Linked DNA regions of Rhinolophus ferrumequinum. The protein of the gene in region 2 purifies or fractionates together with the protein of the main gene of each other region. This does not show direct contact. Links are inferred from orthologs where the notes say so. Each region holds a gene or a part of one and is shown on either strand. Other genes may lie near its edges. The genes, in order: SCFD2, STX18, SCFD1 and USE1.

The links.
Region 1: the proteins of STX18 (region 2) and SCFD2 purify together in Homo sapiens (co-immunoprecipitation; 3 studies listed by BioGRID and IntAct, counting the BioPlex papers as one, with this or other methods). This does not show direct contact. The link is inferred for Rhinolophus ferrumequinum from reciprocal best matches to the Homo sapiens genes STX18 and SCFD2.
Region 3: the proteins of STX18 (region 2) and SCFD1 purify together in Homo sapiens (affinity purification with mass spectrometry; 5 studies listed by BioGRID and IntAct, counting the BioPlex papers as one, with this or other methods). This does not show direct contact. The link is inferred for Rhinolophus ferrumequinum from reciprocal best matches to the Homo sapiens genes STX18 and SCFD1.
Region 4: the proteins of STX18 (region 2) and USE1 purify together in Homo sapiens (co-immunoprecipitation; 4 studies listed by BioGRID and IntAct, counting the BioPlex papers as one, with this or other methods). This does not show direct contact. The link is inferred for Rhinolophus ferrumequinum from reciprocal best matches to the Homo sapiens genes STX18 and USE1.

What each region holds. Positions count from the first base shown.
Region 1 is NC_046288.1:15,954,967-15,962,939, reverse strand, and holds the start of SCFD2 (sec1 family domain-containing protein 2), read left to right. Parts: upstream 1-4,573; 5' UTR 4,574-4,700; coding exon 4,701-5,538; intron 5,539-7,973. UniProt on the Homo sapiens protein: May be involved in protein transport.
Region 2 is NC_046288.1:83,038,287-83,046,137, reverse strand, and holds the start of STX18 (syntaxin-18), read left to right. Parts: upstream 1-4,653; 5' UTR 4,654-4,759; coding exon 4,760-4,927; intron 4,928-7,851. UniProt on the Homo sapiens protein: Syntaxin that may be involved in targeting and fusion of Golgi-derived retrograde transport vesicles with the ER.
Region 3 is NC_046289.1:79,696,441-79,703,898, reverse strand, and holds the start of SCFD1 (sec1 family domain-containing protein 1), read right to left. Parts: upstream 3,434-7,458; 5' UTR 3,378-3,433; coding exon 3,335-3,377; intron 1-3,334. UniProt on the Homo sapiens protein: Plays a role in SNARE-pin assembly and Golgi-to-ER retrograde transport via its interaction with COG4. Involved in vesicular transport between the endoplasmic reticulum and the Golgi.
Region 4 is NC_046301.1:50,451,490-50,459,230, reverse strand, and holds USE1 (vesicle transport protein USE1), read right to left. Parts: upstream 3,184-7,741; 5' UTR 3,169-3,183; coding exon 3,028-3,168; intron 2,699-3,027; coding exon 2,649-2,698; intron 2,488-2,648; coding exon 2,409-2,487; intron 2,322-2,408; coding exon 2,169-2,321; intron 1,627-2,168; coding exon 1,614-1,626; intron 1,235-1,613; coding exon 1,207-1,234; intron 936-1,206; coding exon 761-935; intron 512-760; coding exon 329-511; 3' UTR 312-328; downstream 1-311. Other genes in the region: MYO9B (unconventional myosin-IXb), read right to left, coding at 5,546-5,961, 6,082-6,209, 6,922-7,061, 7,407-7,454.

The DNA.
Region 1 (7,973 bases), about 67 Mb from region 2:
ACAATGAAGACCTATGTCCATGACTTCTTGCACATTTGTATAATACAAGTGTATATGTCATAAAGTATGTGCAGTTTTTAAGTCAATAGATAATGCCAAATTTTCAGGCCACTTTTGAGAACACATCCTTCAAGAAGATGACACATGATGGGTCAAAACTGGTATTCTCGTTCTCAACTATAACATAGTTGCATGACCTCAGGTAATCAACCTTTCTATGCTTCAGTTTTCTCAGCTATAAAATGGGAAATTTGAATGAGATGATCTCTAAAGTCCCTTTTAGTTATGATGTTTTCAAATAGGACACTCACTTTTCAACGGAAAGAAATCTATTTTAATTACAAAAATCAATATGTTTACATACTCTCTAATCAGTAAATATTGTTTTTTCATTTATTTGGCAATTACTGACATCTGCTGTTTAAGAACTTGGAAAATAAAGACATGAGTAAAACATAGCCCCTACCCTCAAAGAGCTCTGTAGAGAAAGGGTGATAAACAACTAACTCTCCTACAAGGGGAAAAGGAGACTATGATACAATAGAAGCACATACAAAGTATTTACATTCCACCAATATGACACCATTTTGTATTATTTAAACAAATCATATGGTTTTAATCCCCTTTACCTTTTTGTTTTGTTTTGTTTTCTATAATTTTTTTTAATTTTATCGGGGAATATTGGGGAACAGTGTGTTTCTCCAGGGCCCATCAGCTCTAAATCGTTGTCCTTCAATCTAGTTGTGGAGGGCGCAGCTCAGCTCCAAGTCCAGTTGCTGTTTTCAATCTTTAGTTGCAGGGGGCACAGCCCACCATCCCATGTGGGAATTGAACCAGAAACTTTGTTGTTGAGAGCTTCCGCTCTAACCAACTGAGCCATCCGGCTGCTCCAATCCCCCTTACCTTTGAACACTCTTCTACCTGCTATTCCCAGTCTCCCGAATCTGTTTAGGATAATCTCTTGCATCCTTCTGAACTCTGTTGCAACATAATCAACTTCATGAATTCTTTCCTGAATTCCACTTTATCTCCTCCCATATTTTTATTCATTCAATAAATATTTATGGAGGCTCCACAAGTGTCAGGAACTCTTCTAGGCTACATATTAATAGATTCGACAGTGAGTAAGACAAAGTCCTCCTCTCATGAAGCTTTCATTCTGAGGAGACAACCACTAAACATATGTCACGCGGTGATAAGGATTATAAAGAAAAGTAAGCAGAATAGGAAGACCCAGAGTGGGGTAATGAAGAGGGATAGGGTGCAATTTTATATCGTGTCAGGAAAAGGCCACTCTGATAAGGTGATACAAGAGCAGAGGCATGAATGGAAAGAAAAAGTAAGCTGGGTAGATTGCTGGATGAAGTCCTATCAGACAGAGGGAGTATGGAAGCGCAAAGGTTCTGGGACAACAACATACTTAGTGTGTTCGAGGAACCCCAAATGTAGCTGAAGAGGGAGGGAGGAAGAGGCTGTAGATGAGGTCAGAGTTATTGGGGAGCGGGCAGGGCAGAGCTAATCACTCCCTTGTAGACCTTGTGCTGCTTCTATGGAATGTGTCCATCACAACATATAGTAATGATTTGACTACATATCTGTATTCCTAAGACTGTTCATTAGACCAAATCCTCCCTCAAATGGAGCGTTTTTTTAATCACTCTCATTCCTGGTATGGTGCCTAGCACTTAGTAGATCTTCTTGGCCTTTACTCACAATAATGGAGTGAAGGTTTTACATTCTCTTTGGGAGTATCATAAGACAATCACTTACAGTCTTGTCTATTTATCTTTCTGTTTATCATTCCGTGAGTGTATAATGAACTTTGGTGGTTTCATGGGAGAACCAATCACCATTTGCTGAGAAGACTTTTTCTCCTTTCAGCTGCCTGAAATGAGCTCGTATTTCAAGGGATTACTTAAACAGAACTGAAGAATTACTGAATAATAACTGATGCATCAGAATTGCCTTCATGGTGGAGGTAGTATTTGATTTAAGCTTTGAACAGGAGGATTTCCACAAGCAGAGAAGCCCATAAATCACTAATAACCAGTCTTAAAAGGCCTCCTCCTTTCTTGCTTCCAAATTGAATTCCTTGCCTGGATAAACTTCCTTAGCTAAAGGTATCTTTATCTTCCTACTCACCAGGGGAGACTTCAAAGAGAGGTAGCTTGATGATACTGTGTAAAATTATGACCTTATCCAACTACAATACTCCATACATTCTGATTATATTTGTGTCCCATTTTATTTTATTTTTCTGTGATCTGTTGGTTCCTGGCAAAACAACAATAACAACAAAGCAACAGTTTTAATATATCTCTAAGAAATACCAAAAGGGAATGCTTAGCAGATGATTAAAATGATGACAAGAGTTAAAACTCAAATAACAGTGCTATGTTCAGTATCTAGCAGATAGTGAGTACTCATAAATGTGTTTTGAATGAATATGTCATTTAGGCCCAACTATGCTATTTGCTGCAAACTTTAAATATGTTGCTTAAATCTCAATATTATTCAGTTTCCTCATCAGTAAAATGATATATTAATATGACATTTTATATTCACTTCTTGGGAAGATAACAAAGCTAAAATTAGGTTTCAAAAATGTCAAAGCATTAGACCAGTTAGAGGCAAGCAGGTAGTGGGTTATGGTGTAGGCCTTTTGTCCTTTCAACAACCTGAATAACCACACACGTGTAAAGGTTTCCTTCTTCTCTAGATACTTCCATCAGGAATTAAGCCTCAATTATCCATCTTCCTATATATTTTGACATATTTTAACACTAAATTTTATATTGCTTGCTGTTTCTGGAAAATTGTATCATCTCCTCTTATAGCTACACTGTTATGTAAACTGCACACTCCTTAATGATGAAAACATTTTTTTTTCTGTAGTTACCAGATCCTGTTTTACAATGTCAAGCACATAGAAAGTGGTTAGTAAATCCTTATGTTGATGATGCATATGGAGGACTTAGAAATGAGGTGCAGAGAGATATGTTTGGTTTTATGAGGAATGGGAAATAATTGTTGGCTATTTTGAGCACAGAAGTACAAATCACATTTAAATGAAGTATATCTGATTGTCTTAAGCATGTAATTTTAGCAGGACTTAATTTGACTCTGCCATAACATCTGAGAACAAGAAGTGGAAGGAAGGAAATTCTGACACATATTATAAAATGGATGAACCTTTAAGGATATTACGCTAAGTGAAATAAGCCAGTCACAGAGGGACAAATATTGTGTGATTCCACATACACGAGATATCTAGAGTAGTCAATTCATAAAAACAGAAAGTAGAATGATGGTTGCCAGGGGTAGAGGGAGGGAGAAATGGGGAGTTGTTTAATGTACATACTGTAGAGTTTCAGTTTCACAAGATGAAAAAATTCTGGAGATTGGTTGCACAACAATGTGAAAATACTTAACACTGCTGAATTGTACCCTTAAAAATGGTTAAAATGGAATTTTATGTTATGTGTATTTTGTCACAATTAAAAAAAACAAACAGACAAATAAACAAAAACATGGCCCAACTGAACTCTGCACATTTATTCCCCATTCTGTTTCTCTTTTGATTTTCCAAATCTCAGTGACTATCATTTACTAGTCACTGAGGCAGAAAAGTGGGCATTAATCAGAAATTTTCCCTCGCCATCTCTCTGTCAATCCGGTAACCAGGATTTTGAGCTCTATCTCCTTAACATTTATTTAGACACCCCTCATTGTCTATCCCTTTACTGGTATGCTTATCTACTCTGGCCCAAGTATTTGCTGTTACTATTTCCTAACTGTTCTCCCAGCTCAAAATCTTACTGCGTTCAAATTATTGTCTGTGTCCTTAATAGAATATTTTTTTCTAAACTCTAGATATGGACAAATTATTTTCACTCCTAAAAATAATAGTTCCCCCTTGGCTGCTACTACGTAGAATAAGAAATAAGACTAACCCTGATCTAGTCACTTCTTTTCTAGTTTTAGCTCCTATTTCTTCTTGGGTCTCTTCATACAAGACATTCTAGCTAAACTATACTGTTTTTAGTTCCAAAACACACGTTGTATGGTTTCATCACGCTATGACTTTGTTCATGCTGCACTTTCTGCCTGGGCTGCCAGGAATGCTCCTCCCCATTCTGTCCACCTGGTGAACACCTGGTTTTCTTTGAAGGCAACTCAAAACTTATGTCCTATATGAAACTCCTAACCACTTCCCCTTTTTACTTCACCCAGTCAGAATTTATTTTCTCTCATTTGTAATTCTTATACATTAAAAAGGTCATCGCTTCTGGAACATTTTATTGCACTTGCTTTGCCTGTGTGGGTCATTTTAATTCAGATTCTTTTAAAGGCAAGACTGTGGCTTACTTCTCTTTATATCCTCAATGCCCAACACATATTGTACAAGTTCATTAAAAGTTGATGTCCAGCTCGCCTCCCTGAGCTTCCTAGGACCCCCGAGAGCCGCGGAGCCTCGCCCACTTTTCTTTCCCACACCTCAGCATGCTTCCTGGAGCTGTCTCCCCGCAAGCCAATCACGCTCCGCTGACGTCATCACCGTGCGCAGCCACTGGACAAGTAAGAGGCGGCACCGCGTAACTTGTGTTGATTGTCAAAGTGTCAAGGAGCCCAATTCCCGGAAGTTGTGAGTTCTGAGAAAGTTTCTGTACTTGTGTGCACGAGTCTGCGAATTCCCAACTATGAGCGCCCCGGGCGTGCAGTCGTTTACCCAGCAGGGCTGGGAGCAGGTGCTGGCCAAAGTGAAACGGGCTGTGGTCTACCTGGACGCCGCCTGTGCCGAAAGCCTGCACTGGGGCTGCGGATCCACCCGGCTCCTGGAGGCGGTGGGGGGACCTGCGTGTTACTTGCGGGAGTTCGAGCCCGCAGCAGTCGGTGGCGGAGCTAAGCAGCCCAAGGCGGTGTTTGTGCTGAGCTGCCTACTGAAAGGCCGAACCGTGGAGACTCTACGGAACATCATCTGCCGCAGTCACTTCCAGTATTGTGTGGTGGTCACGACTGTGAACCACGCTGTCCACCTCACGGCTAATCACGTGCCAGCCGCGGCAGCGGCGGAGCTGGAGGGGCAGCAGCCGGTGTTCGAGCAACTAGAAGAGAAGCTGTGTGAGTGGATGGGCAACATGAACTACACCGCCGAGGTGCTTCACGCCCCACTGTTGCTCGCCCCTGCCGCTCCCTACCTTGCCTTGACTCCAGCCTTTGCTTCCCTGTTTCCACTGCTACCCCAGGATGTGCATCTCCTTAACAGTGCCCGACCGGACAAGAGGAGGCTGGGAAGCCTGGGTGAGGTGGATGCCACTGCCCTGACCCCTGAGCTGCTACTGCAGATCAGGTGCCTGGTGTCAGGCCTCAGTTCTCTGTGTGAGCACCTAGGGGTCCGAGAGGAGTGTTTTGCTGTAGGTTCCCTCAGTAGGGTCATCGCTGCAGATCTGGCCAATTATGCCCCTGCCAAGAACAGGAGGAGGACTTCTGCAGGCAGGGCATCAGTGGTCTTTGTGGACAGAACTCTGGATCTCACAGGTAAGTGGGATTGCTGTGGAGGGCTTCATAACCACTCTCCAAGGTTCTGATACTTTCATTGATTCAGAGTATATTTTATTGACCTCTTACTATATGTCAGGTTGAAGATACAAAGATGAACTAGGTGGACACAGTCCCTAATCTCACAGAGTTTACAATCTAGACGGAGATACAGACAAACAAATTAGCATTAGTCAGTGTGTTAAAAGCTGTAATGAATAAATACATCTTCAGTGTGCACGGCCTTGTTAAACAACAACTGCATCTAGCCCAAGAGATTGGAAAAATATAATTATGATGACACCGAGGAGAAATGTCTACCTGGGAACCTTTTAGGAATGTGCAGATGCACGTATTCCCAACAATCCTTCATAGAAGGGCTCTAATTTGTTGGAGAGGTGTTAACAGATGATTTAGTGGAAGGAAACTGTTCAACAAAACAGGAAATTATCACAGAGAGTTAGTTGAGTTTTAGGTTTTGTGGGGACAGAGAGCAGTTTCTATGCTTTCAGCCTCACATGCAAAAGTGCTGGCTCGGGTAGTAGATGATCATCGGCTGTAACCAGTTAGCCATTGGCCACTGATATAACTGCCGTGGCTGAGCTAGCAAGGGCAGATTGCAGTTAGCAAGGGGTTGGTTGGTTGGCGGAGAAGCGGATGGCAGATTGAGGCTAGCAAGTGGGGTTAGCAAGTGTGGATGGCGGATTGCGGATCGTGTGGATCCTACTTCCTGTGTCTTGGCCAGCCGCCAGCAAGACTGGGATGCAGGAAGACCCCTTGTTGGGGTACTGGCGGATGTTTGCTTTTGTGCCTCGACCAGCCGCCATGGAGAATATAGTGGTATGACTCCCCTATCTATGGCTCTGTTGTTCCTTTTTGGCCTCACCATGTCCTATGTTCTGTTGAGGGGAGCGGGACCAGAGTCCCTGCATGACAGTTTCCTTAAATGAGTATTAAAAAAATCTATGTCCATTCTAGGCTTAAAGATATAATTCACTCAGAGATTTTTGACCCCCCCCCCCCGCATCATTAGACATTCATTCAGCAAGTATTTAATGAGGAACTTGTAGGGTGAGTGCTAGGGAGACAACCATAAATTACAGACGACATAAATAAGATGTGGTTCCCACCAGCTCTAATCAATGAATGTTCTACTGGTGATACAAGAACTCTTTTCTTTAACATCAGATGTGACCTTAGAAGCACTCATGCTGGCTCTGTCTTAAGTCACTTTTATGAGACTAATTTAAAAAAAAAAAGTGTAGGTTTGGGATTATTTGCCTCCTGAGTTTGAATTCTTGGTTGGTAATTTATAAGTTGTGTAATCTTGAGCAAGTTACTTAAATTGAATCTTCTACTCTGTAAATGAGCTTAATAATATCTACCTTTTAGAGTTGTAAGAATTAAGTCAATAATAGATGTCCAGTATGGAGCTTAATATCAGGTACATCATAAAGTCTCAATAAATACTACCGTGTTTACCGGAAAATAAGACCTAACTGGAAAATAGGCCCTAGCATGATTTTTCAGGATGACATCCCCTGAACATAAGCCCTAATACCTCTTTTGGAGCAAAAATTAATATAAGACCGGGTCTTATTTTGGGGGATACACGGTAGCTATTGTGATGAAGATGATGGTGTTAGTTCCTTGAATCCCGGTTTGGTCTTTTCTACCTAGTTCTTTTGTCCAATTAATATAACATAGCAAAAACAAAAGAGAGAGATAGAGATAGACGATAGGAAGCAAAATGTTAATTAATTTGAAGTGGGTGGAATCAAAACAAGTAAATGGGCCAAGTCCCACCCATTGTTGGTATGAGGTCTTCTAAGCAATGATGGCTTTTGGAAAGATAAGTTGGTTTTATTGGGAAAGTATTGAACGGTCGTTGGTCTTGAATTTCAATTTGAGGTCATTAATTCATTTACTATTAAAAGAGTTAATACATGTAAAACACCTAGAAAAGTCCCTGGTACACAGAAAGCAGTCTATAAATGCCTGTATCATTGCAAACTGTTACCATTCATTCATTTGTTCTTTCTTTCATCTAGCAAATATTTAGTGAGAGCCTACTGGGTGCCAGGTTGCCTGCTAGACATGGTGGGTACAGGATTAACTAGCTGAACAGTTGCCATTGTGAAGATAAGGGTCTAGCTCAGGGGAGATCTGCTCTGCTTCGTCAGGTTTAGTCCTCTGGGTCTTACGGTCTTCATCAATAAAATAAAGTCTGGCTCTAAAATTTCAGGATAGTATTATCCAATGACACTATTTACCTGGATGACTATATGCTAATAATTTATTTATATATTCATTCAATAAATTATTTATTTATTCATTCAACATTCATTAATACCTTTCATGTCAATAGGTACTGTGCTAGGTGCTGGGAATACAGTGGTAACCAGAGCAGATACAGTATCTGCCCTCATGGAGCA
Region 2 (7,851 bases):
TAGCTGGGTGGGCCCCTTGTCATCACAAGGGTTCTTAAATGTGAAAGAGGGAGGAGAAGCATACGTGTCCGAGTGACAGGTTGTACGGACTCAACCCGCTATTGCTGGCTTTGAAGATGGAGGAAGGGGCCAAAAGCCAAAATATGTGGACAGCTTCTACAAACTAGAGAAGGCAAAGAAATGGATTCTCCCTTGGAGCTTTCAGAAAGGAGCTCAGCCCTGCCCACACCTTGATTTTAGCCCAGTGAGACCGATTTTGTAGTTTTGACCTCTAGAACTGGAAGATAGCACACTTGCATTCTTTTAAGCCACCAACTTTGTGCTGATTTGTTATAGCAGCCACAGGAAACGAATACACACCCAAAGCCCCTAACCAGCAGAGTGTGTCCTGACAGTCAGGTTTGAACCACATGACTGGAGGCTGAGCCATAGTTGATTGGACCAGAGGTAGATGTCTGTACCAAGATGGGCCTTTGTTTTCTTTTCTGCTTGCTCAGAATTTGGGCTTGGAACTGATACATCTGTGACTAGAGGCATAACATATAAACTGAGGATCTGACAGGGGCCCATGTTTGGCCATGTGAATGAGAAGCAGAGAAAAAAGGTTTGCAAAGATAATTATATCGAAGAAGAGAGAGGCAGAGAGAGACGGAGAGAGATCTGGTAGCATTCTAGTTTCTAGCTCCCCTCTGAGGTGAAGTGCAATTCTACAGAACAAATGCCTCAGCCAGTCACTGCCTCCCACTGACCTTTGCAAAAGAGCCAATGTCCTCAGCGCAGAAACGTTGAGAGATTGGCTCCAACCAAGTGAAAAACGCAGACTGGTGGGTATTGCGCAACTACCAGATCACTAATACCGGTTCCATGGGGGGGGGGGGGGAAGAATTTTTAGAAGGGAATCTCTGCTCCTAGAATCACATGAGAGGTTAATAGGTGTTGCTCTGTTTTTCAGATGAGGCTCAGGGAGGTGAAGTAACTTGCTTAGAGTCACACAGCTAGTGCATAGGGAAGCGGGCATTCAAACCCATCTTTCAGTTTCCAAATCTCATGTATTTTTTGTTTGTTCCTTTGCTTTTCCTATTACTCATCCTTGGCTAACTACTTCCTGGAATTCCTTTTTTTTTGAACTAGAAAGAACTCAGAGATCTAATAAATGTCTCTTATGTACCCGACAACAATTCCTGTCCAGAGAAGTCTGGGCCTTACAGGGTCCAGAAGCTACAGGTCAGATATGGAGGAGGGTTGACAGAGCAGTAGCTCCCCAGTCTCTCTTCTGATGCCTTTTACTAACTGGTGTCCGCATCTGGGTGGTTCCTGGGGATTGCCTACCAGCAGACACTGGATACTCAGCAGCCCTAGGGCCTCTATCTCTGCCTGATGTCAAGGCTTGCAATTCCCACCCACTGATGATGGTAAGTGAAGTGTGCATCCAACAGTCTTGTTTTGGCAGATATCTGGATATGGGTTTATCAATCAAAAGAAGCTAATTATGCTGCAGTACCAACCAACCACAAATCTCCATGCACAACTAGACCAGAGGTTTACTTGTCATTGCCAGCACACAGCCTTGCTTGACTGTGCTCCGGATCATCTTTACTCAGGGACCAGGCCGATGAAACATTGTAAAGAGAGCACAGTGAACCACATGTTATCTCTTAAATTTGCATCACATATCACTTTTTGTGGCTAAAAAGAATCACCGGGCCAGGTTATTCATCAATAGGTCAAGGACCTGTAGTCCTACCCTTGGGAGAGACCATGACTATGAGAGAACAATGAAACAGACTACCACAGGGGGTCTCCAGTCTCTATTGTTGTGGCAAGTCTGTGATTCCATGCGCCCACGAAACTCTGGTCTTCCTGTGCCACCCCGTAAGAATTCACACTTCCAGGCACTGGGCACCCTCCATGCAGCAAATGCCTGCTTACTCCATCTTTCTCTAAGGGATGTGACAATGACATCTTGGTGGCTGACAAAAACAGAAATCTATTTCTCACTCACAGCACTTGTCCATCATGGGTTGGGCATCTGAATGTGCAATATACCCTCTTTTTGGTAGAGGCTGCATTTAAGGACTTCCGTGAGAGTCCCCAAATGATTCAAAGCTGTCTGCATCTATCCAGAGGGTATGGAGGGTGTGGTTGTAGGGAGCTGTACGGGAGCTGTAGGGAATTTCAATACGCCTTACTCTTTTTCAAGAGATGAGTACCTGGCCTAATGAATGAAACATTGTTACTTATAAAACATAATTTATGTACATCAAACTGGATAGTTTGTAGCATCTCACCATGCTGTTCCTCCTTTTTATCCATATCCCCTTTCAGCTTTATGAGGTTTCAAATACCGTGTTTCCCCGAAAATAAGACCTAGCCAGATCATCAGCTCTAATGCATCTTTTGGAGCAAAAATTAATATAATACAAAAAAAATTATATTAAAACAAGACAGGGTCTTATATAATGATATGTTATGCTATGCTATAACAAATATAATATAATACCGGGTCTTATATTAATTTTTGCTTCAAAAGACGCATTAGAGCTGATGGTCCGGCTAGGTCTTATTTTTGGGGAAACACGGTAGTTGTTAGTCTGCTGTCAACTGGAGTTCCCTTGCTCTTTGAGGTCGAAAGAGTAAAATAAAATAAAATAAAGTAATAAAAAAGTGAAGTCTCATATCCCATGGGCTGTGGCAAAACGAATGGCCTCCACAGTGACTTGTCTAGGAATAGCAGGTACTTGTGGTTACTGTGCCTTTAGAGCCTGATGTTTTCAGCCTATTTGGGTCTCACCTTCAGAATGTTCCCTGCTCTTGCAGATCCAGAAAGAAAACTCAGACCTTTGTTCCCAGCTCTCACGCCGAAACCCACTGCACCAAACACACTGCTCACACTGCAGGTTGGTGTGGTGTCGTTCAGCCTCCTCCAACTTAAAAACCCTTCCCCAAGGAAGCACTCTTTTCCTGGCCTCCTCCCCGGGCTCTGGTTTCCCTTTTACCCTAATTCAATCCCCTTCACTACATTATGCAGAGCAATTCAACTCTTTCTTCTTCTCTGCCCCCAGGCTCACCTTTGCATAGCCAAAGACTCATTAATGTCTTGATAAAACAAAGGACCATTTATGTAATACAGAATCATTGGCAGAGATTTTTGTAATTTCTTTCTCATTTTCTCTCTCATACTCCATAGGCTGCAGGAAACTTATTTTCTTCATACAGAAAGGCTGAAGCTGCTATAGTTTGGGTTTTAAATAATGTTTTCCTTCTTCCTTTCAGGTCCATATATGTCCTTTCTTGACATCAATTTTTGACAAATGTATTTATTTAACACAGTGGGTCTCAAACCTTTGCTCTCAGAACTCCTTTACCTTCTTAAAAAGTATTGAAGGCCCTAAATAATTTTTGTCTGTATGGGTTTTATCTATCAGTATTTACCATATTAGACATGAAAACTAAAATTGTAAATATTCACTCCCTTAAAAACAAAAACAAATCCAAACATATTAACACAAATAGTGTATTTTTGTGAAAAAATACATTCCCAAAACAAACAAAAAATGCCGTGAGAATGGCATCGTTTTACATTTTTGCAAATCTCTTTAAAGTCTGGCTTAATAGGAGACAGCTGTTCTGCATTCAGTGTTTTGCAATATCACAAGTCACACGGCCTCTGGAAAATTCAACTGTGTGTAATTCATGAGAGAATTGAGAGTGAAAAGTCAAATAACATCTTATTATCAAAATAATTGTATCTTGCTGACCACTCTTTGACAACCACTGTTTTGATATCCTATTTGTGCATCCTCTTTAACAATGAAAACAAATGAAATCAATGAGCTCGTGAATTACATCTGAACCTGAACCAAAAACGTAGTACGAGCTCACTGATTAACGTGCAAGTTAAATAACTATGACTTAGAAGGGTATGTTTAAAAATTGCGTATCAGGGATAAACAGAAACCAGTGACGTTCTTCACCTTTGTCTCCACCTAATAAATTCTTAGTCATCCTTCAAACCTGCCTTCTCTGATAGCGATGCCTTCCCTATAGACAGTTCCTCCCCACCATAAATAACGAGATTATTAACAACGGTAACTAATCGGTATCGGTCACTAGGAGCCAAGGAAGCGTCCAAATATTTTACACGTGTAAAATCTCATTTAATTCTCACAGTAACACTCCGAGGAAGGTACTGAGCGTCTGGTGGCTGAAGGCTGAAAACGAAAGGCCTCTGGCCTCTCGCTCTGGGCCACGCACACCTGCTCTGCCCTAGCACTAATTGAACCCAGATCGTCACCGTCCCGCACACGGCGAGCCCTTGAGGTCAAAGGTCAGGCCGGGTCGTTTGTGGTTCCCTGCCACCTGCGCGGCTGGGCTCAGTCAGTGCGGGAGCCGACCAGGCTTCCGCGTCCTCTCGCTCCCGGGGCCCTGACGCCCCGGGCCGGCTCCCGAGGGTTCGGGGCTCCGGCACCTTCCTGTGCCGCCAAGCGGTACCAGGTTGTCTGCGAAAAGAAAGGGGCACGGGGGTACGCATCTCGGGATTGGGGAGGCCGTGGGCACCCCACATGCGCGTGGGCGGAGGGCGGAACCTTGCTCCTCTCGCGGCGGTAACCCCGCGGAGGCCGGAACCTTTCTTCTTGCGTCCGGGTTGGCGGGCGGAGGCGTGCGGAGCCGGAACAGTCCTCCAGCGGCTGGGCTTGCGCCCTGGTCGCCTACTGCTGACGTGGGCCGGCTGGGTCGGGGGCAGTAAGTGCGGGTCGCCATGGCGGTGGACATCACACTGCTGTTTCGGGCCAGCGTCAAGACCGTGAAGACGCGCAACAAGGCGCTGGGAGTGGCGGTGGGCGGCGGCGTTGATGGCAGCCGCGACGAGTTGTTCCGCCGGAGCCCCCGGCCCAAAGGCGACTTCTCCAGCCGGGCGCGCGAAGTGGTAAGCTGGTTGTTATGGGAACGGAGGGCTGGAGAGGGCACGGACCCGCGAACGCGGACCCCAGACTCCAAAACGGACCTTGTCGCGCAAGCTTTGTATGAAGGAAGCGCTTGGAGAACAGTGGTCTGATGGGGGACGGGAGAGTTGGTCCCGGAGAGCCGACAGCTGTCCTGGGAACGTAGCAGCCTCGGAGGAATGAGGACATATCTTGGGGAACTCTACGAAGTAGATTTTTTCATAGGGGGAGGAGCCGCTAGGAAATGGTAGTCGGCAAAGGTCGTGGGCTGCTTTGCAGGGAATGAGTGCGCCGTCACTGCAGGCGTGAACACCGGGGAGACTTCCCCGCAGATCTTTGCTCTCCCGTCGCACCACTGACCGCAGTGCATTTGCCTCTTCTATTTACTTGTCTGTCTTGCTCCTCCACTCCGTCCTTACCCCGCACCCCTGCATTGAGGTCAAAGGTCGTGTTCAGCGTACCTGTCGCTTCCCCTTGTCTCCTGCAATAGGTTAGGGCTCATGCTAGGGATCAGTACGTCTTGAGACTGGTTTAAGGTATCTTTCACAAACATTCTGTTACAGTCATCTTTGTTACAGAATGTTATTTGCACGCAGCGGGCTATCGTTCAGGGGAGCAGGGACCTTCGTCTTCCGGCAGGAACAGTGTGGCCGGTGCCCCACTCAGCATTGCTTAGTATGTGTTGAATGAAAACATGAACAAATGATTGTCTGTCTTCCCCACTAAACTCTGTAAGGGGAGAGGAAACGGTAAGGGGAGAGAGAATGTTTGCTTTGTTCACTTTTGTAACCTTAGCACCAAGGGGAGGTGTTGATTTTGTGGAGCTTGAAGGTTATACAGTTCTGTCTGTTTTCTTTAAGAAATTAAAATGCAAAATCACAAAAGAAGGTTCAGAGCTTTGGGAGGTGTAAGTGGGAGGGGCCCTGAAACTTGAACATTAATTTCATGGTAAATCCACTTCTGTTTGGCATGCAGTCCAATGCCTGGTACTTTGTAGACACTCAGCTGTTTTTAAATGAATATATGTATGCATGAATTAATGAGTGGCAGTTTGCAGAGGACAATCAAATATCGGGAAGGAAATTGGACCACGTGAATTCATTCAGTCCATTTATAAACATCCATTAAGCACCTACCTTCTGACCAGCACTGTGTTAGAATAACACAATTTAAAAGGACTGGTGGGGGAAACAGACATATTAACCAAACATGTGCCCTAAAGCCTTGTAAGTGTTGTGTAGAGCACAGAAGAGAATGTGTTCAGTTCTACCTGAATGCCAAGAATGGCTTTATAGAGGTGATACTGCCTGAAACAAATCTTGAAAGAGGAGTAGTTGTTGGTTCTACTGCAGTCAGGGTGCAAAAGGGCATCTCAGGCTCCAAGAAGAGGATGCACAAAGGTGTGGAGATAGGTTAACTTATGTTTGATTTATATACTCATGCATGTCTACCCGTTAAAGTACAAGCTTACTAGACAGTAATGACATTTCAGATGGGGGTTGGGGAAGGAACTCATAGCTGAACTCCCCCCAAACAGTGATGAATATGCTGCTTTGTAGTGAGAGTTTGATTAGTAAATTCGTTTGGATTGTGGGGACTAATGGGGGCCTTGGGAATGAAAAGAGAACTAGGACTTGGATTTCAAAGACTTGGGTTCTGGGTTCTGCTACTTAAAATTGGTGACTTGGGCAAGTCCTATTACCTGAGTCTCATTTTCTCTTTCTATAAAATAGAAACGATAATACCTTACTTAACGGATAAACTAATTATTAGGATCTGTGAGGCTATCCATGAGTATATATCATAAAGAACCATACTGGTTATTATTGTTTCCCTTCACTTCTTACCCCCAACCCCGTGTAGGCTGTTAGACTATTTTCATCATTGGTACCAAGTTATATTCCCTAAACCAGTTAGCTTTCTTGTACTTTTCATTCCTTGCTTGCAAAGGGGAACCAAATAAGTGCAAGAAGGAATCGGTGCAAATCTCGTGCAGGTACTAATAGCATCAGTGGGGACAGCAACTTTCCTTTGGCAAATGTGTGGCAAGCATCAGCTGTCTGCATCTCTTCCTCCCTGTGACCCTGGGAGCAGATCTGGGTAGCTCAGATTCCTTTGCAACATTGTGCCCCAGGCAACCATTACCAGTTGTTGGACCTGACATTCAAGTTGAAATCTGCTTGACATCTTACCTGACACATAGTAAAAATAGAACCCGTATGCCTAAAGTGGAACCATGGTCTTTTTTCTGTATATACTTAAAAGGATCTTATGTTCATGTTGTTTAGGTTTCTCAATTTATAGATGAGAAAACTAACACCCAGGTAAGTGAACCGACTTGCCCAGAGTCCTAATAGCTGAGGTCGTAGGACAGAGCCTGAGGTGGAAGCCAGGTGCTTTGACCCCAGTTTAATGCTGTTTATTACGCAGTCCCCCCGTCCCCCATCCCCCTACCTTTAATTTCCACTGCAATTTTAAACCCCAAATTCTTTGGCTTTCGAATGGCAGTGAGTTTCTTCTTGAGTTAATACTGAATTCCTAACTGGAGACTGAATGGTTAGGAAGACCTGAATTTGAATGCTTCCTAATGTGTCAAGTTGGTCAAGTTACTTAACCTCAGTTTCCTCACTTCTAAAATAGAGCAAGTAAGAGCAACCTTGTAAGGTTGTTGTACAAATGAAATGAGAAAAGTTATGCTGGCCCCTGCATGCGTGTGAATTCTTATAGTTGCAGGTAACGGTGAGCTAGTCAGGTAATTCACCTGAGCCAAATGGGAATGTCTTGGCTGATGTAGCTGGAAACACAGCATGGGCCTTCTTTCCCTGGCTCTTCCCCATCACACCCAGGAAAGGACACTCGTTGATTCTGCCTGGATCCTGAGCTCTCATTGTGGCATCAGAGCGATAAG
Region 3 (7,458 bases), on a different chromosome or scaffold from region 2:
TGCCAATACTAATTCACACCTACTGCAGAAGCGCACAGGTGTTACGGTATTACATAAAAAATACATAAACAAAAAAAAACCATGTTGGTATTTAAAACAGAAATAACACAGGAGGCATAGAAGGTGCTCCAGGATTAACTCTCCCACCCTACTTTAGAAAAGCTTTTCCTCCCACCTCCAGGCAACACACATACCACCCTGGCACTCATGGCCCAAGAGAGAAAAATCTTATTTCTAGGAACAGCTGTCACACTCTTGACAGAGGACAACCAGGAAGAAGCACAGCCGGAGCTGCATGGGAGCCCCAGATGTACGGTGTTCTCCAGAGACTGCCTTAGCTGGAGGGAAGAGTCAGTAAGAGCAGGCATTTGCCTTCTCAGCCCCGTCTAGGTGAATATCCCCAACACTGAGCCTCGCTAACTTATAATAGGGATTCTGACCACGTGGATTTGTTAGTAAAGTACAAGCCTGTGTTCAAATAACACACAAGAATGTAATTTCACTTTTATCAGAGTAATTCCCCAAAGGCTTAAATATTGCTTTTAACTGAAAAGACAAGCTAGTTTTGTTTATTAACCCTGAACATACTATCCACAGTCCCAGACTTGGTTAAAGTAGTTTCACCCTTGCGTGGAAAGTTTTCTTCACTCATTCGCTATATACTCAACTATATTTACTATTCATTCAGCAAATGTTTAACGAGTGTTTACCATCTGCTGGACACTGCTCTAGCTGTTGGCACTAAACAAAACTGACTGAATAAAAATTACCTATCCTCAAAGAGCTTTCATTCTAGTTGGGAGAGAAAGACAACAAAATAAGTAAAACATGTGGTATGTGAGATCATGATAAGTGCTATGGAGAAAACAAGGAAGGGAAGGGAGGAGAGGGAGCTGTGGTGTAATTTTAAATATAGTAGTCAGGAAAGGCCTCCAGAGAAGGTAACAGTTAAGACCTAAAGGAAGTGAGGGAGTGAGCCACAGATATCTCTGAAAGAATATTCCAGATAGAGGAAATGGATACAAACGTTCTGAAGGGGGAACACTCTGGTTGTTCAAGGAGACGGGAGAGCAACAGGGAGCCAGTTCAAAAAGCTAAGTGGGTATCAGGTCATATAGAGCCTTGAGGATCACTGTAAGGTCATTTTGGCTGTTACCATGATTGAAACAGGAAGCAGTTGGAGGGTTTTGAGCAAATACGTGACATTTGAGTACGGTGTGAAGAAAAATGAAGAACAGGGATGTAAAAACCAGGAAACCAAATAGGCAGTTATTGCAGAAATTCATGGTGGCGTGGACCTGAGTGACAGCAATGACAATGGTCAGATCCTGGAAATATTTTCAGAGTAGACCTGACAAGATTTACTGACAGATCTAACGAGGGATATGAAGACAGAAGTCAAAAAAACTTCAAGGTTTCTGACCTGAGCAACACAAGGACGGTGTTGCCAGTAATTGATACGGGGTAGACTGAGTTCGGAGGTGAGGGTCAGGCTGGAGATATAAACTTGGGAATCCTAAGTATATAGAGAGTACCTAAAGCCAAGAGGCTACATGAGATCACGAGAGAGAAAGCAGTTGATCTGCGGCTCTCTGATGTTAAGAAGTGGGACATTTGGGCAAGAACCTGCAACAGAGAGATATGCATGAAGAATAACAGTAACAGAATTCCGCCTACAATATTTGAGAATTGATTGTGAGTCATTTCCCAAAACATTCTCAACAGGCATCAGGGGGAGGTCAAAAAGTTAATCTTTTACAACTATAACCTTCTGCTACTATAGCACATATAAATGGGTTTTCCTTTCTCTAGAAATAAGACAGAACTCAACTAGAGTACTAATTTGATAAATGATTAATCTGGCATAAACTATCTAGTAACGATGTGAAATCTTCTATAATGAAGTTTATTTCCACAGAAATCAAAATTATACTAGATTTAAAATTTTACAAATTTCTGCATATAATAATTACCACCAAATTTCATTTTTCAAAAAGTTCCTTTGTATTGGTACCATCTTCCTTCACACATTATTTTCTTTATTTTAATATGTAGTATGACCTAATTCACTGAGCTTCATTAAGTTAAGTGGGGCTTCTATTTGCTTACACAGATAAAATGAATGGCAGGTACTCCCCAACTCTTATTTGGACTTTCATATATTTAAGTTATGTCTGACTTAATCTGATAGATTATACAAAGTCATCTATTGGGAAAAGCAGATCGACTCATGAGATAATGCACTGCATCATTATTAGATTGAAATCTGTCATTAATTTTCTTCTTTGAATTCCAAAGGCAGGAATCAAGCAGAGCCAAAATCCCTTCTGCAGGTCATATAAATTGTAATTAATTATTTTCCTATTCAGATTTATATGTAAAATAACATAATTACAAGAGACATAATTTCCAAGAATGCACGCTCTTGATGGCTTATTTCTATTCACTCCTCAGAATTAATAGCTTGCTAACTTTCAAGACAATTAGCTAACAAGTATAAACCATTAGTTTGTAGCTAACAGGTATAATGCAAGTTGTCATCAGAAGTTTATAAAAAAATCAGGCAAAACTAAAAATATCTAAGATGGAAAAAATATCAAAGCTCAAGGGAAGAAATGTCCTTTTTAAAACTACATTTCACTGTATAAACGGAAGGTATATAAATAACCATGCTCTATTGAAGATGAAACTACTAATACGTAGTTTTAAAACATTAAGTTGTCAGATAAAATGGGAAAGCTAATAATTCATTTGTTTTGTTATTCTTCAATCCCATTCCAGCAAGCTGAAGAAGGAAATCTTTATCACCAGACATTTCTCTTCAGGCAGCCCCACAAGATTGGTCCAAAGGAGAGAAGTTGCAGAACGTTAAGCTGCTCTGAAAATACTTAAATTTTGTAATAGTGGTGGAAGTGCCAGAATATGAAACTCTTTCAACATTAAAAATGGGAGAGACCTGAACCACCCACAGAAACAAACCCGGAGACCTCATAGGTGACAACACAGAGGAAAGAAATGTCATCTTGCCAGATCTTGTCATGAAGATGACAAGGCCCAGTAGGAAAGAGACAAGAGCAGGACCATAGCAACCCGCCCATTCCTGAAGCGCCTTCTGCAGCACTAATGAGGGGCCGAGTTCTCAAGTCAATGGCATCTCTTCCATAAAAACTGAAAAGGGGAGGGGCTGTCGGTGCTTCGAAAACTGGATTGAACTCGTGGAGGTCTGTCTCCCAGGGGCATGCAATGCGACCGAGTGAGGGTGATAATCAGAGGAAGAGGCCATCCCCATGGCAGGCACAAAACCGCACGGAAAAGAGGATAAATAAGTAGGTACCTGTTTGTCTCTCGCGAATACTTGCTGCTGCACTCGCCGCCATCTTGGCTCCCACCAGCCACTGCCAGGCTGGCCAGCGTAGCCGGAAGATGACGTGACCGCCGCAACCGCCCCGGAAGCAAAGCCCGGAGGGGCGGGGCCAAATGAGGTTCTTGGGAGCCGGACCCCGCCTCTTCCAGGGTGACCCTCCCACGACCTCAACTATCCACAGAACTTGGGGAAGCAGTAAGGGTGTTTTTTAGCGGCGGAACAGGAGACGGTTTTATGCTATCTAGTCGCCACAGCCTCTCAAATGGAAGCTGCTTTAAATTGAGCTGTCAGGGTACTTGCGTGGTGTAGCGCTATGAGCTAAATACTGAACTAACTACTGAATTGTTTCGTCGGTTACAGATCTCTAAACTGGTGAGAATACTTAGGGGTTTAAGGATCACAGGACCAACGTAAATGAAGCTCCGGGAACAAAGTAAGCACTTAAAGGCTAGCGCTAGCCTCTTGTTTCCTCTTGGCTCTCTTTGGGAACAGGCGGCGTTGGAGCACTGCTCTCATCTGGCCGATTTCTCAATCTCATCTGTTTTCTCATCCTCAGGTGTTCTCATGCACACTTGAAGCCATGTGATGACAAAATGTATACAATATTGATTCCTAATTTAATCTATAGTTTACTGGATGTCAAAAATGGATACACAATGAGAACTCATTTCCCATGTGGTCAGTAGAGTTCACTGATGATCCTGCATTAGCTGTTGAGTACGTTCATTCTGAAGCTGCACCAAATTTTGAAACGAAACGAAATTATAGATACTGCGCCCCAAAAACTGTTTTGAAAACTTTCCAATTTATGACAAAATCAGTTAAAAGATACCGTAGTGCAATTACACAAAAAGCACTGATTTCTCTATTTCACAAAATGTTTATTTTCATGAAACTTAAGACAGGTGATCTTATTTTTAACACCATTAGGAAATGCCCTAGAATTGAATCTACATTCTTTTTCCTTTGCGTGATTTTTTTCAGCTTTATGGAGTTATAATTGACAAATATTTGTATGATATTCAAAGTATACATCGTGATTTGATTATATATACATAATTTCCCCCACCTAATGATCACATCCACTATATATGAGAACTTTAAAGTTATACTCAATAAATTTATGTAATGCAGTTATTTTATATTACCGTAGATCCTCAGACCTATAGTCCCCTTGTTATATATTAGATTCTCAGACTTTATTCATCTTAAAACTGCAAGTTTCTTACGGCATCATGACTTGTATAGGGAATCTTAAGAGAAAACTCAAACTCAAGGAAACAGCAGCAAAATGGTTACCAGTAGCTGGGAGCTGAGGGCAATAGGGAAAAGTTGGTGAAGGTTATGAACCTTACCCCACATTCTATAACAAGTGCATTACCTCTCATTTTTACAGCTAATTGGCATATTCACTAAGAAATTAACTGGAATGTTGACTGTTTTATTCAGTGCTATCATCAATATTTTTAAGGAAATCACCGATGATTTAGATGTGTTGTGATTTAACAGAAATGACGGTTCCTGCCCTATAGGAAGGTTCTACTTCATTTTTTGTCTTCATGGTATATAAAATACACAGGCTTTCCCACCTTTCAACAACTGAGGGCCCAATCATGTTCATTTCCGTACTTACACTTTCACACGCAAAGCTATCACCTCACCATTTCAACTCCATAAGCCTTTTCCCCTAAGACATGAGTTATATTAAAATGCTAGGGAAATGTTAAACATTCCTATAGAGTATGGACATATGAAATGATAACAACTGTCCTGACCAAGAAGTGTATAGTATAGGCAATAAATGTACAGAAAAATATGCCCCACAGGAGAACAGTGGCAGTAGACTATAATAGTCTCTGTAAGGCTATTTGTTACATATTAGAATCAGAAATAACCAAAATAAACTCATGGCTTCAGTGTCGGTTATCCTCATTTACTGTGTATCCGTTTAATTGACTCCACCTACCCAGATTTTAGGCTTAAATAATTTATTCTGGCAAACTATTATTTTACATTGGGGGATAGTTGACACAAATACCTCAGAACAGCTCATTCAAGAGGTTCCTAGGTGTCAGCCAACAACTGTTTGCAGATCTTGCAAATGTGGAGAAGAAAGGATCTTGTATCTACTTAATATCGCCAGAACCTTAACCTTGTCAAATCCTACCAAGTTAATTTAGTTTATATACGCATTTCACGTTTAGTAGCATAAACATACTTATTTAGTAGCATAAGCATACTTATTTGTTTGTTGCTATATCTGACATCTTTAAAAATGGGGGGAAATAGGCGGACACATAAACTATTACCTAGCCCACCACCTGGCATACAGTAGGTATTGGAATATGTTTGGCAATTGAAAGATAATAGTCAAAATGAGAACTTGAAAAGAGGGTCTCTTCGAAGAAATCCAAATATTCCTAAACTACATGTGATACACATTCAAATAATCCATCATTCAATGTGTTCTTATGCTTTGTATTGCATTATTTGAAGCATAACAACTAGTTTAATAGCGTATTGTAAAAGAATGAAGCATGTGACAATCACTATATAAAAGGATTTACGTATTTATAAATAGAATCTTGTCCTAATCAGTTCCTTATGACTGAATGCTAAAGGCAAAGTCACTGAGAAAACTTACCTATTATACTCTCCTTAGCATTTAGCATTGAGTACAAAAATTCTACTAGCTTCCATATAATTAAGGAAAAAAAATTATGGAAAGTTTTGGTGTAGAGAGAGAACAAAGTGATTTCTCAGGGTAGTAACCAAATGAAGGCTTTTTACATTACCCAAAGAATGGCTATTCATAATATGCAAATTAAATGATAAAATATAAAATCGTAAGCTAGTTTTGGATATTTTAAAGATCTTTACCTTAAGTACTAAAACAACCAAGTTTACGAATAGTAGAGGATTGTATAAAAGGCATTCAGTTGAAGTTCTCACACCAAAAAAGTTTAAAAACTTTAAGAACAATGAACGTAAAACTAACCAAAGACTATTAACAGTAGATGCATAACAGGCGAATTGTTGGTTTTCCTTGATAGAGCAATAGAAAACAAACTTGAAATATATGGCATTTAGACAATTTAAATATTTAAGAAATACATATATACATTTATAAAGATTTATAGCATAATTTCTTTTTAAAATCAATGTAAGAATTGTGCACACTATAACAATGAATGGAAAAAGAGCAATCATAATACCAACCATCTGACAAAGTAACACTGCAGAAAATAAATAACCCAGTGGTTTCTGAAATGCTCTGACTATACAGATTAATCTAAAAAATATATTAATGGAACATCCTTAAAACCAGAAAACATTTTTCAATATCAGTATTTATGCTTCACTTTAAAACGTGAATGTCAATTATTATTTACACCACTTTATCCCAAAGGCCCTGTCTATGCATAAGTGAAATGAAGAATCTGTTTTTAATTGCAGCCAAGCCAAGCACTCTGCCTCCCTCCCACTCCTCCCCATCCAAAACGTGTGTGAATGCTGATCAGCTTTAATGACCACTGTAGGGGAAATTAATTAAAACTACAAATAACCAGAAAATAGCTTCAATTATTTTTTTTTGTTTGTATTGGTTTAATGACTTTTTAAATTTTATAAATACAAGGTAGGTTAAGAAATAAAATATCCAATTTATCAACACATTTGTAATTAAAGCTATATGGCAAGTTTGTGGTTTATATTCAAACTTCTTTTTATAACAGGTCCTTTAATTACTTTCAGTAATCTAAATTAACACAAGACAAGGAAATGCCTTGTTTAATGTTCTTAAAAACTTCAAATGAAAGTGAAACTTTAATTTGCTGGGTCTGTTAGTAAATGTAACAAAGAAAATTACACTAGGATTATGTTTTCATTTTCCTTTGGTATTAAGAGACATTGCTAGTATCAAATCAATCCTGTTATTTTTCTTTAAAAGTTATCAGTAACTTAAGGATGTTTCTTGGGGAGGATGAGAATATGATAGCTGATAGCTGCTTTATGTATCAAGAAAAAATGTAATTACAAACAAGCAATTTACCTCTCATATGATTTACTTTAGTGGAAAACCCATTTACATTTGA
Region 4 (7,741 bases), on a different chromosome or scaffold from region 2:
CCATTCCTTCTCCACCCTCCAGGTCTCACCCCGACTCCACAGGCTGAAGGTATTGTGTTTTGCTCTGACTCTACCACACTGGGGACTCCTAGGGCCTCTAGGGGCCCCACCTTGTCCAGTGTGGGGTAGGTACCAGTGGGAAATGGGGAGGGGGTTGCTGAGCCACCACTCCCGCCCAAAGCCTGATCTTCTTCCTCCCCTGCTCAAGTACTCTCTGGCTCTTGGGGACCTCCAAGGGCCTTCCTATCTTGTTGTCCACCCCAAAGGGTACATCTGGACAAGGGTGGAGGGCAGACAGAGGACAGATGGGGTGGGCTGGGCCAAGTCTTTATTTGAGTTTGGGCATGATACGGATGAAGAGGATCATGCTGATGAAAATGAAGCAGACTATGATAAGCATGGCCCAGAGCAGCCAGTTGACTGACTTCTGTGCGTGCTGCTCCAGCCGCTCTGATTCTGTCTTCAGCTTCTCCAGGTTCTGGTCAGCCATCTTGAGTGAATGTGACAGGGTCTGTGGGTGAGGTGGGGCGGGTTATCAATAGGACTGGGATCGAGTGTGGCCTCTCCCCACTGCCCTGGGGCAAGTCAGCACCTCTTGGCCCTTGCTTGCTGGTGCTGTCTCCTCTGCTAGGAATGCCATTTCTTGCCTTCTACCAAGCTCCTACTATTTATCCAGCCAAGCCCCAGCCACAGGACCCCTCTGCTGGGAAAACTCTGATGCCCCAGGGCAGAGGCTGCAGAATCCCCATAGTCCTCACACCTGGTTGTCCTTCTTGATGACACTCTGGGCGGCCAGTGTGTTGGTCTTTAGGCTCCGGGCCAGATCTAGCATTTCTTCTGCCAGCTTCTCCTGGAGGTTCTGGTGTTGTTGCAGGACGAGGTCTAGCTCGGCTGCCGACTGCTTCTCATCCCCTGGCCTGGGCCCTGCCACCCCACTGACCCCACACGTGGGTGGACGGGTGGACATGAGATCGTGTGGAGGAGGGGAAGAGACCAACATGTTCCCAGGGAATCCACAAGTGATGGCTACAGCCACTGTCCTACTTGGGGCTCAGTTTCCCCTTCTTTACTTTGGTTTCTGGGAAGAGCATTCTCAGAAGTGTCAACTGATGGGTGGTTTAGATGTTTGTAGTGGCGCCTCAGTGGCTCAAGGTTTGTCTAGCCCCCCTGCCCCCGCAGTTCTGCCCAAGGGCTGAAGATACTCACATTCTCTTTCTCACGTCCAGCGCTGGCTCTGGAAGCAGAACAGGCCAAGCAGGAAGGAGAGGATTGGTTTCCTGTGTTCCAGCTTCCTAAGCATTATGGGTCTGCTACCCATAAGGCCCTTGCCCATCTTGTCTGCTGCCCTCTTGTCTGGGATGTTTTCCTCACCCCCATCTGGGTTTTCTTAGGCCCCAGGTCCCTCCTTCCCTCCTGTTTCCTCTGAGGGCCACCTCCTCTCTTCCCAGACCCCCTCTAGGCATGACTTGGCGATGCCCCCAGGGATGTTCTCTCTGGGATGCAGAGGATCCTGTTGCAGCTAGATGAGGCACGAGGGATGGCGGGCAGCAAGGACACATGTCCTGTCCCAAGCAGCTAAGGACTTGAGTCCTGTTCTACTCAGGGTGACTCACCTCCAGCAGAGTCCTGTGGGAAAAAGCGACAGGCAGGAAGTCACCTACCCTGTTATGCTCCCAAACCTGTCCTTTCTGCTCTCAGAACTTCTGAGCCCTTAGTCAGGGACCTAGGCACGTCCTATGACTTCTGAGCCTCAGTTTTCTCATCTATAAACTGGTAATGACAACAGCTTATACTTTGAAGGGTTTCGCTGATTTACGTAAAGTGCTCAGAAAGGCACCTGTCATCCTATTTTACAGATGAAAAAAATCTTGTCTATTTGTGTAAAGTGGGAAGCTAGGAGCCAAACTCTCCTAGCTTGCACAGGGCCAACTCTGTGGCTTAACAAGATGCGTACCACTTTTGCCTTGTACCAAACAAACTCATTCCTCTAGCAAAGCCCTGGCTACAATGCCCTTCTTTTGGGAAACCTTGTTTTATGGCCTAGGGCAGAGGCTGTTGGGTCCCCTAGGGTCCTTGTACGTGATAGTATTTGTTGTTCTGGCCATCCCCAGGCACTGAACTCCTGTCCCTGACTGAAAGGTTCCCAGGGACCAGGGAGGGAGCCCTACCGTGCCTAGCAGCTCGCTCCGCATCTCACTGGTGTACCGAGCCCGTGACTGCAGGTGTACAGTCTTGGTGGCGGGCACCCGCTCCCTGGCTGTGGTTGGCACACGGCCAGGGGCCAGGAACTGGTTGGCTAGCGCCTTCTCAGAGGAGGAGGTCTGCAGAAGAAGGAGGAGGAGTCACCAGAGGGGCGGGACTCAGGAGAACATGATAAGGGCCGAAGAAGCAGAGGTGCCCCTGCTCACCAGCTTCTCCGCCTGCAGCATCCCCTTCAGAAAGTCTACCTTGCGGGAATATTCATTGATCACCTCGGAGGCCGGTTTGCTGGATGACGGGAGACGTGGAAAAAGGAAACCTGTCCGCTGTCCCCAGTTCAGAGAAGCTGTCCCAGCAGGGATGGAGCCCAGGGGTCTCCCAACAGGAGAGGGCCCCCTGGCCTCCACTCCCACCCCGGATTTAAAACCCCTATGGCCGCCTGTACTCACCTCGCTTGGAGTTTCAGGGCCTGCAGCATGTTCTCGAGGGCTCCCACGTACTGGGGAGAGAAAGTGGGTGTTAGCCGGGTCCCCCGAATAACCCCCATCCGGCCCGAAGAGGGGCAGAGACAACAAAAGGCGGGGCTAGGACAGGGCGGGGCTGGGAAAGGGGGAGGGGCCGGGAAATAGGAGGGGCCAGTTGTCAAGGAGGCGGGGCCAGAAGAGCCCAGGGACGAGGGCGGAAGTAGCTGGTGGACGTGGCGGAGCCGACCGGAAGGGGCGTGGCCAGAGCGTTTGGTGGGGCGGGGGAGACCGGCCTAGTGGCTGTTAACCCCGAGGACCACCCTACCGGAGTCGGGCTCTACGCAGCAGCCCGGGCTCCCCTCACCTTCTCCAGACGCCACTCGTCCGAGTCCCGCTTCTCTGCTGCCATCGCCTCGCAGCGGCACAGCAACCGCACCAGGTTCAGCTCTAGCCTCGACGCGGCCATCACCACCCGGCGGTACCCCGCCCCTTCCGCCGGCGACATCTTAAGCGAGGGCGGAAGTGCCTTTACTTGACTTCCTTCCGGGCTGGCGTGTCCCGCTCGTTCTGTCTCATCTTTGGAGCATAAGTAGTCTTGTTTCAAGGAGTGGCCATCCCATCCATACTTAGGGCCAAATCGCCTGCTTTCCTCGCGAACATCTTAACCCCTCAGGAAGGGTTGAGGACCATCATTCGGTGTCAGGCCCACATGCCGCTTCCTCTGCTCATTCCTTTCCCCTAGCTCAAAATTCCTCTACTACACTTAACCCGTCTAGGTTCTTCCCACACTGAGCTCTCCCGCATCCAGGCAGCCTTCCCCGATTTCTCCTGGGGGTTAGGGAGAGAGCCCTTGGCCTGGGACTTAAGAATCCGAAGCTTAGGGGACCATCCAAACTTCTGCGGTTAAGAGCTTCTGGGTCCCAGCTCTGACTCTGACTCCAACTCCCGCCATTTCTGGGCGTTTCCTCCCTTGGGAAATGGGCAGTGGGACCGTGTCTGCTTGAAGCGGACACAGGTTAGCCCTGGGAGTGAGAGGTGGGGCCAGGTCACCCCTAAGGCTCAGATCCCCGTGGGAAGAACCCAGTCCTAGCCCACTGGGAGCCAAGACCCATCCTGCGAGCCCCCTCCTGGAGTGGACAGGGTGAAGATGGAGGCTTCACAGGGATGACTGTGGCATGCAACACCTTTATCTTCCCAGACCTCAGATCACCTATGTCCCAGTCACATTAGTGGGCCTGGTGTCCTCAAAGGATACAATGAATGAGACCAAACCCAGGGTGGATACAGGGAGGCTCTAGAGGCACCCTGAGTGGGTTTTGAAACCCAGCCACACCCCATCCCAGTGGTGTGACCTTGGAAAGCCCCCCAGCTCTCCCGCATGTGTAGTCTGGACTCCCATTCGTCACTGCCCCCCACTTGCTAGCCAGTTCCCACTGGCTGCCCGCCCTCAGGGACGCCATCTACTAGCCAGGTCCCACAACTGCCCATGTTTGCAGCCTGGGAGCCTGTCTGTGGGAAGGTTGCTCCTGGCTCTGTGGGGCCCACCAGAAATTGCCCTCCACCTCCATCCCAGGGCAGATGGCCCAGCTGGGGGAGGCCGGGTGGTGAAACGGCAATGGGGCAGCTCCTAGGACAGCAGGCTTCTCTCACTGAATGCCGCTCCAGTAACTCCCTGCTCCCCCTGGTTTCTGGATCAATATGCACGCACCTCCGGCAGGCCCACCTCGCTCAGGTGAGGATTATGTGTGACATTCTAACTAACAGCAGCAGTTTGCTGGAGGATCATGGCAGGTCCTCTGAGACAAGGCCACAACCCCGAGACTGCAGGGTGTACAACCCCGAGACCTGCTGGCCTATGCACCTCCAACCCCAAGCAGGTCTGAGCAGGAATCACATGCAAACACTTTTCAGGCACTTTTTTTTTAATTTCACATGGTTTGTGGGGCACCTCTTTCCAGACGGGGGCCATCTGTCCAGGTGTCTGGTGATGAGCGGAGCCTGAGAGAGGGGAGCCCTACTCCAGAGATCCCCAGGCTGTCACTATAGGCCTGTAGGGACACGCAAACACAGGCCTTGCTCTCCCAGCCTGTGAGTGGTCCTGAGTCAAAGGCTCCAATTCTACCATACGGTGTGGGCAGTGCCAAGGGCAGCTTCCTCCAGTCAGGGAACGGTGGACAGTGGGGTGATGGCCACATTCGAGTCTCCCTGGATGTGAAGTCCGTGGTGCCCTGGGTAGAGGCCATCCCCCACCTTATGTCCTGGCTCCAGCCAACAGCCTGGATCCCCATGGAAGACTCTACTGCTCCTTTGAATGCACGTGGGCCAGGCAGCCGCTGGCCGGGTCACAGGATGAGCGCTGGACAGACTCTGGGCAGTCAGGTGCCCCAAATGTCCAAACCCTGCTGCAGGGTCCTGGTCCATGGATGCCCCCTGAGCTGTCAGCGCGGGCCTGAGCCTTCAAGGTGGGGTGGCTTGTATGGGCTTTGCTCTTTAGTCTTGTGTCCAGGTTATAAGGGTGTTAATATAAAAGTTTTACATACACATATAAAAAACAATTTGGTCTTCTGTTAAGGCTGTTACAGTTTAAAAGTTATGTAAACCAGGCACAAAGTAACAGTTACCGTACAACCGTACAAAAGGGGCAGGTGGGAGAGGCCAGGCTGCCTGCCAGGATTCAGAGCTCTGGGCAGTGCCTCTGTGCAATGTCGGGCGTCAGCCCCAGCCGGCCTCTCGCTGCCTGGACTCTGCACGGGGAGCCGGTGCCCACCTCACATCGCTCTTGGAGCTTTTCATTCTGGATCCTTCTCGGAGAGCTGAATGCTGGCTCTGGAGCTTTGGCACAGGGCCATCCTTAGAGGTGCAGATTCTGGCACTGCAGACCCTCAGCCGTTAGCCTGGCCCGAGGTGGGGGGCAGGCAGTAGGTTGGGGGGTCTGAGTACCTCCGCTTGGCCCCAGGCAGTGGGTTGTCCTCGTCCAGGGTCTCCTCAGTGCCCTGTGCAGGCAGGTGAGCACCCGGCGTGATATACACAGAGTGTACCTGGTCTGGGCGGCGGGCAGGTGGCTCCCGGCGCCTCACTGAGGCGGTGGCCTCATGGGCACCTGGTGCCCGGCCAGGGAGGTAGGAGGGCAGGCCGGGTGGGAGCTTGATGTTAGCTGTGGGCATGATGGGGGTCCGCCGGGGGGTCTTCACTCTGACCGTCACGAAGGACGACGGCCTTCGTCTTGGAGGGGCAGCCACCTCGGGGAGGGGGCTTGGGGCAGGCGTGCTGGGACTAGGGAGAGCAGGTGCGGGGAGCCCTTTTGAGAGACAGACAGCAGGGTTACTGTAGCTTCAGGGCCAGCAGATGGACCCTCGCCCTGGGGCCTGCCAGGGATGGTCACGGGAAGGAAAAAAGCAGACACTACCTTAATACTGACCTTCCAAGGTCCCCCGCCCGGCTCGCTCTTCTAACAGGCTCTCGGTGCTGGCTGATGTTTCTGAGTCTAGGTTCTCCTCGTCGGAGCCCCGAGGGTCCAGTTCTGGCAGCCGGTAGGTGATGTCCTCCCTGGGGTGATGGGGGTCACATGTCTAAGGCTGTCCCAATGGTGAAAGACCACCTCATGGAAAGTGCCCGGATGACAGGATCCTGGTACTGGATGTCCTGGTACTGGTGTCCTGGTACTGGATGGGATGCCCCGCTCCCAGAACCTCCCACCTCCAAAGCACCCCTGGCCCAAAATAACCCCCGGCCATGGAAAGCTCATGGGAAGAAGGTGTCAGGGTGCTGAGGGCAGCCAGGCATCTGGCCCAGTACTGAGCAAATGAGGAGCTCCTGCATCAGGACCTTTGCATGTACTGTTCCCTCTGCCTGGAGCACCCTACTCTGTAAGACTACTGTGGCCAGGTGCCCTGGCTCATGCCTGTTCTCCTGGCATAATTTTTTAATAGCACTCCCTTTCACACTCACATTTCAACTAGACAACGAATTACTCGGTTACCCTAGCTAAGGACACCTTTAAGACAAAATCTGAACATCACCCGTTGCCCTTCCTTTCCCTGTGGGCCACCATGGTGCCCTGTGGTCAAGCATAGGGTTTAAACAGAGCCCCAAGCTGTGTTTTAGGACAACAGCACTCCACGAGATGGGTCCTGGACGAGGGACTGAGCTTGGCCTGTCAGCCTCCCTAACGTCCAGGTCCCCTGTGCACAGTGGAGGGACCAGTGGATGGGGGCTGGATGGTGCAGACGAGGGTGGGAAGGGGACAGAGGACACTTGCTTCTCCTCCTTGATGGACTGGATCCGCTCAATGAGTATCTCCTTCTCCCGGTCCTCGTCGTCACCAGCTGTTTCCTCCTCTGGCAGCACCCCCAGCTCTTCTGGGCCGCTGCTGCTTCCCCGGGCTGTGGGGCTCTTGTTCTGCAACAAGAAGCGGCAGGTCTGGCCGGCCTCTCTGGGCAGGTGGGGTCAGTGCTTGTGAGTGGGGAGAGGGTGGTGTGCACAGCTCCGGGGGAGGTTAGTTCTGCCGTGGACGGCAGGCTTAGTGAGGCTTCTCCAGGGGCCATGTGGGGATCAAGTGGCCGGTGCACAGCTGGTTAGTGTCTTCAGCAGAAGTGGATAGCAGGCAATGGGTCTCCCCCAGCATGCACTTTTGGAAGTTTAGGACGTGCTGGGCCTATCCTACGAGGATCCCAGGGGCCGAGGGAACCCCAGCATGCACTGCACCAAAGACATGCAGGGTGGGCCAACCAATCGAGTACATACCAGGACCCCCTCATAGGGAGACGAAAACCCCAGTTTGAGAGGCCATGGCTGGGGGAGAGATGAACAGAGGATGACTACATGGTGCTAGGACTAAGTCACAGGACGTGTCACAGGCACTGAGCCACATCTGACCGCAGGGACAAGGACAGGGGAGCCCAGGAACCGTCCCCTTACCCCTCACACTCTGGGGCTACTTCTGTGGGATCAGTCTGCTATGGGTGGGGCCCAAGTCAGCAAGGGCCGGGGTTGGAAGATGAGCAGAACTACCAAGTAGGTGACAGATCTCCCCCACTGCCCTGAGAGGGGCGGATGGCATGAAATAGACAGGCCAGTGG